Linked DNA regions of Macaca fascicularis. The protein of the gene in region 1 interacts with the protein of each later gene in a biochemical or structural test. Links are inferred from orthologs where the notes say so. Each region holds a gene or a part of one and is shown on either strand. Other genes may lie near its edges.

Region 1 (3,518 bases):
CACCTGTAATCCCAGCTACTCGGGAGACTGAGGCAGGAGAATCGCTTGAGCCCGGGAGACGGAGGTTGCAGTGAGCCGAGATCGTGCCACTGCACTCCAGCCTGGCCAACAGAGAGAGACTGTCTCAAAAATAAATAAATAAATAAATAAATAAAAAATAAAGCAATCTCAGGGGCCAAGCACTTTGGGAGCCCAAGGTGGGCGGATCACTTCAGGTCAGGAGTTTGAGACCAGCCTGGCCAACACGGTGAAATCGCTGTCTACTAAAAATACAATAATTACCCAGGCGTGGTAGTGAACACCTGTAATCCCAGCTACTCGGGAGGCTGAGGCATAAGAATCGTTTGAACCCAGGAGGTGGAGGTTGCAAGGAGCCGAGGTTGCGCCATTGCACTCCAGCCTGGATGATAGAGTGAGACACTTATCTCAAAAAAAACACAAACAAAAAAACCCTCTCAGGCCAGGCACAGTGGCTCACACCTGTAATCCCAGCACTTTGGGAGACCCAGGCAGGTGGATTGCCTGAGCTCAGGAGTTCGAGACCAGCCTGGGCAACATGGCAAAACCCTGTCTCAACTAAAAAATACAAAGAATTAGCTGGGTGTGGTGGTGCCCGCCTGTAATCCCAGCTACTCAGGAGGCTAAGGCACCGGAATTGCTTGAACCTGGGAGGCAGAGGTTGCAGTCAGCTGAGATTGTGCCAGTGCACTCCAGTCTGGGTGACACAGCAAGATTCTGTCTAAAAAAAAAAAACGGGGGGTGGGGGGCCGGGCACAGTGTCTCACACCTGTAATCCCAGCACTTTGGGAGGCTGAGGTGGGTGGATCACAAGGTCAGGAGTTCGAGACCAGCCTGACCAACATGGTGAAACCTCATCTCTACTTAAAATACATAAATTAGCCAGGTGTGGTGGCACACTCCTGTAATCCCAGCTACTCAGGAGGTTGAGGCAGGAGAATCGCTTCAACCTGGGAGGCAGAGGTTGCAGTGAGCCAAGATCATGTCACTGCACTCCAGCCTGGGCTACAGAGCGAGACTGTCTCAAAAAAAAAAAAACAAAAAACAAAAAAAAACATGTGCGATGGCTTATGCCTATAATCTCCACACTTTGGGAGACCGAGGTGGGTGGATCACTTGCAGTCAGGAGTTCAAGACCAACCTGTCCAACATGGTGAAACCCTGTCTCTACTAAAAATGCAAAAAAATTAGCCGGGCGTGGTGGTGTGCGTCTGTAATCCCAGCTACTCAGCAGGCTGAGGCAGAAGAATTGCTTGAGCCCAGGAAACTGAAGCTGCAATGAGCCAAGATCACGCCACTGCACCCCAGCCTGGGTAACAAAAGGAGATTCCATCTCAAAACAAAAAAAAAAAGGACTTCTAAATCTCTCTTTTTAAAATTGTTTAGACATTGCTCTGTCACCCAGGCTAAAGTGCAGTGGCGTGATCATAGCTCACTGCAACCTTGAACTCCTGGATGCAAGTGATCCTCCCACCCAAGCCTTCCGAGTAGCTGGGACTATAGGTACACACCACCATGCCCTGATACATTTTTTATTTTTAGTAGAAATGAGATCTTGTCATGTTACCCAGGCTGGTCTCTAGCGCACCTGGCCTCAAGTGATCCTCCTGCCTCAGCCTCCCAGAGTGCTGGGATTATAGGCATGAGCCTCCACACCTGGGGTATTTGCTGGTCTTGATGACCAAAATTGTTTGTATCCTGTCAATTCAGAGGTATCCTTTGAATTGTATCTTTGATAGCATTGAATGTGTGACTTTTGCTGAGTATAGCCTTTAACTTGGATGAACATAATCTTTATCTTCATCCCAAATGCCAACCAAACCATGTCACAGCTCCTGAAAGGCCTCTCTGCCTTTGGTCCTTTGGTTGTTCCTTCTCGCCCAGTTCAGTCCTTCTGCCTGTTCCTCCCTGCCTGTCCAGTTTTACCTTTTTTTTTGAGACAGAGTCTTGCTATTGTCACCCAGGCTGGAGTGCAGTGGTGTGATTTTGTCTCACTGCAACCTCTGCCTCCTGGGTGCAAGAAGTTATCCTGCCTCAGCCTCCTGAGTAGCTGGGATTACAGGCATGTGCCACCACGCCTGGCTAATTTTTGTATTTTTAGTAGAGACGGGATTTTGCCTTGTTGGCCAGGCTGGTCTCGAACTCCTGACCTCAAGTGATCCACCCACCTCGACCTCCCAAAGTGCTGGGATTACAGCTGTGAGCCACCGTACCCAGCCAGTTTTACCAGTTCTTTAGGGTCTATCTGAAGGCCCAGCTCCTCCAGGAAACCTTTTCTTGACTTTGGCCTCATTCAGTTTGGTGTTTGCTCATGTTCTGTACATTCTGCCTTACACAGCTGGGGATTTCCTGTTTATGCTAATGCGTTTACAAAGTCCTTGAGAGCAGGGACTGTGCCTCTCTTGCTTCTCCAGTGCCCTGCACAGCCTACACACACTTGCCACTATGAGTGTTCAGTGGGTACTCATGGAATTAAACTGAATCAGATGTCAAGGAGTGTTATGGTCATTTCTGCCTCATCTCAGTCACCAAAACAAAACACACTTTAGAAGATTCCATATAGGTTCGGTATCACACATTCTCAAGAAAATATTTTTCCTATTTTGAAGTCAGAAGAATCCCGTTTCACTTGATAACTGGCATAACAACTTTACAACTAATATTTTTTGCTTTTCTCCAACAGGCTGCATGTTAAATGGCCAAGAGGTGAGGCTTACTGTTCACTATGAAAATGGGTTCACCATCTCCAGGGAAAACGGAGGCTCCAGCAGCATATTATACCGCTACCCCTTTGAAAGGCTGAAGATGTCTGCGGATGATGGCATCCGAAATCTATACTTGGATTTTGGTGGTCCCGAGGGAGAACTGGTAAGAGTGTTTCTGATTTTGGTGGTCCCGAGGGAGAACTGGTAGGAGTGTTTCTGAAACACATTTTTTTCTAATAGATGTTCTCTTTCCTTCTCATTACTTCTTACCCCTTATATACAAAATCATGGACTGACATTCCATTTAGAACCATGAAATTTTTAATTAAATTTTTTTTTTTTTAAGATGGGGTCTGTGTCACCCAGGCTGGAGTGTAGTGGTGCGATCATAGCTCCCTGCAGCCTATACCTCCTGGGCTGAAGTGATCCTCCTGCCTCAGCCTCCTGAATAACTGGAACTGGACTATAGGCGTGTGCCACCATGCCTGGCCAATTTTTGTATTTTTTGTAGAGATGAGGTCTCGCTTTGCTGCCCAGGATGGTCTTGAACTCCTGTCTTCAAGTGATCTTCCCATCTTGGCCTCCCGAGGTGTTGGGATTACAGATGTGAGCCACTGTATCTGCTGTTCTCAGTTTTCCAGATGACATTGGATGTTGGTTTTTGTTATCATTTTTCTTTTTTATTTTTTTTTGAGACGGAGTCTCGCTTTGTCACCCAGGCTGGAGTGCAGTGGCACCATCTCAGCTCACTGCAACCTCTGCCTCCCTGGTTCAAGTGATTCTCCTGCCTCAGCC
Region 2 (3,518 bases), on another chromosome or scaffold:
TGAGCCTAATTTAGCTCTGAGTTTCCTGGTGGCCAAAGCAAAGAAAGAAATACCCGTTGTATGTTACTAATGTAAAAGAGAAACAAACTTTTTCATTCGAAGAGAGACTAGGTGGAGGGGTGGAGAAAGAGGGGGAACTGGGCAGAGGCCAAGCAGGGGAAAGAGAAAGATTTCAGACAAATGGGAGAATGTGAGCCCCCACTAAGACAAAAGACCTTAAGAACATAACAGAAGCTTCTCATCACCAGATGAGCCTGAATAGTAATTTTTTCCCCACCAAATAAGCACATGACGGTTTTTTTAAAAGCCTTTCATTGGTCCTGCTGGTAGTTAATGAAAAAAATCCAATAAGAGTATTACAGAATTTCATACAAGTTTATGGCACGTGTAGCACCGACACTCCGGTAGACCCTGCGAGGGAGAGGGAGGAGAAACTCCGACCTCGAGAGGCTCACAACAATAGTTGTGTCTGGGTGGAAAAGCTACCAATGGTCCTGAGCAGTAGATAAGTGACAGGTAGCCAGGGTTCCTGGGACCGCTGGAACTTATCATTTGAACCGTCCTGGGAGGCCGGGGGGTGGTTGGAGAGACCGAGAAGGTCTCGAGGAGCGCGCGCGCAAACGCTGGGACTGGGGCAGCCCGCGGCGCTCAGGTCTGGGCCCCTGCCGGGCAGGTGAACCTGGTGTCGGAGCACATCTGGTGCGAGGACTTTCTGGTGCGGAGCTTCTACCTGAAGAACGTGCAGACCCTGGAGACGCGCACGCTCACGCAGTTCCACTTCCTCAGCTGGCCGGCAGAGGGCACACCGGCCTCCACGCGGCCCCTGCTGGACTTCCGCAGGTGAGCGCGGGCGCCCCCGCCTGGAGGGGCCGCCTGGGCGGGGGCGGAGCCGAGGTCCGCCCGCCAGCTCGGCCTGGAGCCCCGGGTCGGGCCTGGAGCCTTGGCCTCTGACTTCTGGCCGCCCCCTCCAGACCCCACGCTCCCACCCCTAAAACCAGGCCTGAGGCTCCGGCTGTGCCCGTCCCCGCGGCTCCACCACCCGCGTGGGCCAGCTCCGCGCCGGCCGCTGCTGCTCCGCTCCCTCTCTCTCACGCTCCCGGGACTGGCTCCTTCTCCTCCACCTGCTTCCTCCAGAGGGCCTTTCGCTTTCTGGTTCCCCTCCCTCTCCGGGGTCCCTGCTTCCTGTCTCCTTCCTGGTCCCTCCTGCCCCGCTGTCTCCAGGCCCTGCACTGCGCTGCCTCGCTGCCCCCTCCGTCTCTCACTCCTGCCTGCCCGTCTCCCACCATCCCTCCTCTTCATCCCTCGTTCATCCCTCTCCGTCTCTCCGCCTCTCTTTTTTTTATGTGGCTTTCATTCCTTTTACTTTCCTCTTTCTTCCTCTTCTCTCTCCCCATCTCTGTCTCACTCTGTCTCTGCCTCACCCTTTCCTTCTCTCTCCATTTCTCCCTCTCTGCCCCCTCCCCTGTTTTTCTCCACCTCCCTCCCCTGTCTGCCAGTTTCTCTCTGCCACTCTGTCCGTCTCTCCCTCTCCCTCCCCCTGCGTGTCTTTCCTCTCTCTGTCCTTCCCTCTCCCTTCTTCCCTCTTTCTCTCTCTCCCTCACAGCTGCCAGTGTCATTTTTGTGATCTGCAGCTAGTATTCTCACTCCAGTTGCATAGTCACAAAAGTGATCATTGGCAGGTGTGGCTGCTGCATGGACAGACAGGACATGTGGCCCGGGGACCACCCCGAGCTGGGAGCAAGGGGGACAGGGAAGAGGCAAAGATTGTCAAAAGGAGTGTGGGAGGATCTCTGGATTCTGGGGCGCTCAGTGGAGCAGGTGGGGACTAGACAGGGGCTACCTGAGGGGCTTACCCTTTTCCAACACTGACACCAAGACAGGTCAGCCCTCCAGCGTCCCCTGCCTTTCCCAGCCCCAGACAGGTACTTGGGAAGCCTGCCACCAAGGGCAGGGGCCCACCCGCACTGCACCCTTCTCCTGGTTCTCTGTCCCTTGCCAAGCTGGTCTAATGTCTCTAGGTACTGGACAGAGGAGCAGAGCTGGGGGTGGGGACGTGGGTATAGTTTCTGAACCTCTGGACAGCAGTTTCTAACTGGGGTCCCTGAGGCCTGAGACACAGGCATCTTGAAAGCAGTGCCAGGGTATCAGAGCTATTTCCTTTTTTCCACATTTAAAAAATCGTGATAGAACTAGTGCATGGATCTGTTTTAAAGCTGCACGGATAAGCTAAAAGATTGCTTTAGGCTGGAATTATGTAAACTCAGTTGGCATTAGACATCCAGAACAAATAAATTGTTGCTTAATAAATGTAGTTCGGGGCCAGGCGCGGTGGTTCACGCCTGTAATCCCAGCACTTTGGGAGGCCGAGGTGGGTGGACTTGAGGTCAGGAGTTCAAGACCAGACTGGCCAACATGGTGAAACCCCGTTCTGCTAAAAATACAAAAATTAGGCCGGGCGCGGTGGCTCAAGCCTGTAATCCCAGCACTTTGGGAGGCCGAGACGGGCGGATCACGAGGTCAGGAGATCGAGACCATCCTGGCTAACACGGTGAAACCCCGTCTCTACTAAAAAATACAAAAAACTAGCCGGGCGAGGTGGCGGGCGCCTGTAGTCCCAGCTACTCGGGAGGCTGAGGCAGGAGAATGGTCTAAACCCGGGAGGCGGAGCTTGCAGTGAGCTGAGATCCGGCCACTGCACCCCAGCCTGGGCGACAGAACAAGACTCTGTCTCAAAAAAAAAAAAAAAAAAAAAAAAATACAAAAATTAGCCAGGCATGGTGGCAAGCACCTGTATTCCCAGCTACTCAGGAGGCTGAGGCAGGAGAATCTCTTAAACCTGGCAGGCAGAGGTTGCAGTGAACCGAGACCGTGCCACCACACTCCCACTTGGGCAACAGAGCCAGACTCCCTCTCAAAAAAAAAAAAAAACAGAAAAAATAAATGCAGTTCAGTCAAGCCCCCTGAGAAGGAAAACAAATTAATAAAAGAGACCCTAAGAAAGTGACCCTGAGCAAGCTCCTTGGCCTTCCTCTGTGCCCCTACCTGTGAGATGAGGATGATGACACATGCTTTAGAGCAGAGGTCCCCCACCTTTTTGGCACCAGGGACCAGTTTTGTGGAAGACAATTTTTCCATGGCTGGGAGAGGGGGGTGGTTTGGGGATGAAACTGTTCCCCCTCGGATCATCAGGCATTAGATTTTCATAAGGAGCTGGCAACCTAGATCCCTCACATGTGCCGTTCACCATGGGGTTCGTACTCCTATGACAATCTACTGCAATGGCTGATCTAATAGGAGGCGGAGCTCAGGCGGTAATACTCACTTGCCCACCACTCGCCTCCTGCTATGCGTCTCGGTTCCCAGCAGGCCACAGACTGACACCGGTCCATGGACCAGGGATTGGGGACCCCTGCTTTAGAGGGTTGTTGCAAGATTTGATGAAGTATGTAAAATCTAGCATAAGTGCCTGATACATAGCAAGGTCTCAATTAACTCTAGATGCTGCCTATTATCATTAT

Evidence for each region.
Region 2: the proteins of SNTB2 (region 1) and PTPRN form a complex in vitro, tested with the Homo sapiens proteins (2 studies listed by BioGRID and IntAct). The link is inferred for Macaca fascicularis from reciprocal best matches to the Homo sapiens genes SNTB2 and PTPRN.

What each region holds. Positions count from the first base shown.
Region 1 is NC_088394.1:65,402,609-65,406,126, forward strand, and holds part of SNTB2 (beta-2-syntrophin), read left to right. Parts: intron 1-2,701; coding exon 2,702-2,886; coding exon of another isoform or gene 2,887-2,927; intron 2,928-3,518. UniProt on the Homo sapiens protein: Adapter protein that binds to and probably organizes the subcellular localization of a variety of membrane proteins. May link various receptors to the actin cytoskeleton and the dystrophin glycoprotein complex.
Region 2 is NC_088386.1:115,232,086-115,235,603, reverse strand, and holds part of PTPRN (receptor-type tyrosine-protein phosphatase-like N), read left to right. Parts: intron 1-673; coding exon 674-840; intron 841-3,518. UniProt on the Homo sapiens protein: Plays a role in vesicle-mediated secretory processes. Required for normal accumulation of secretory vesicles in hippocampus, pituitary and pancreatic islets.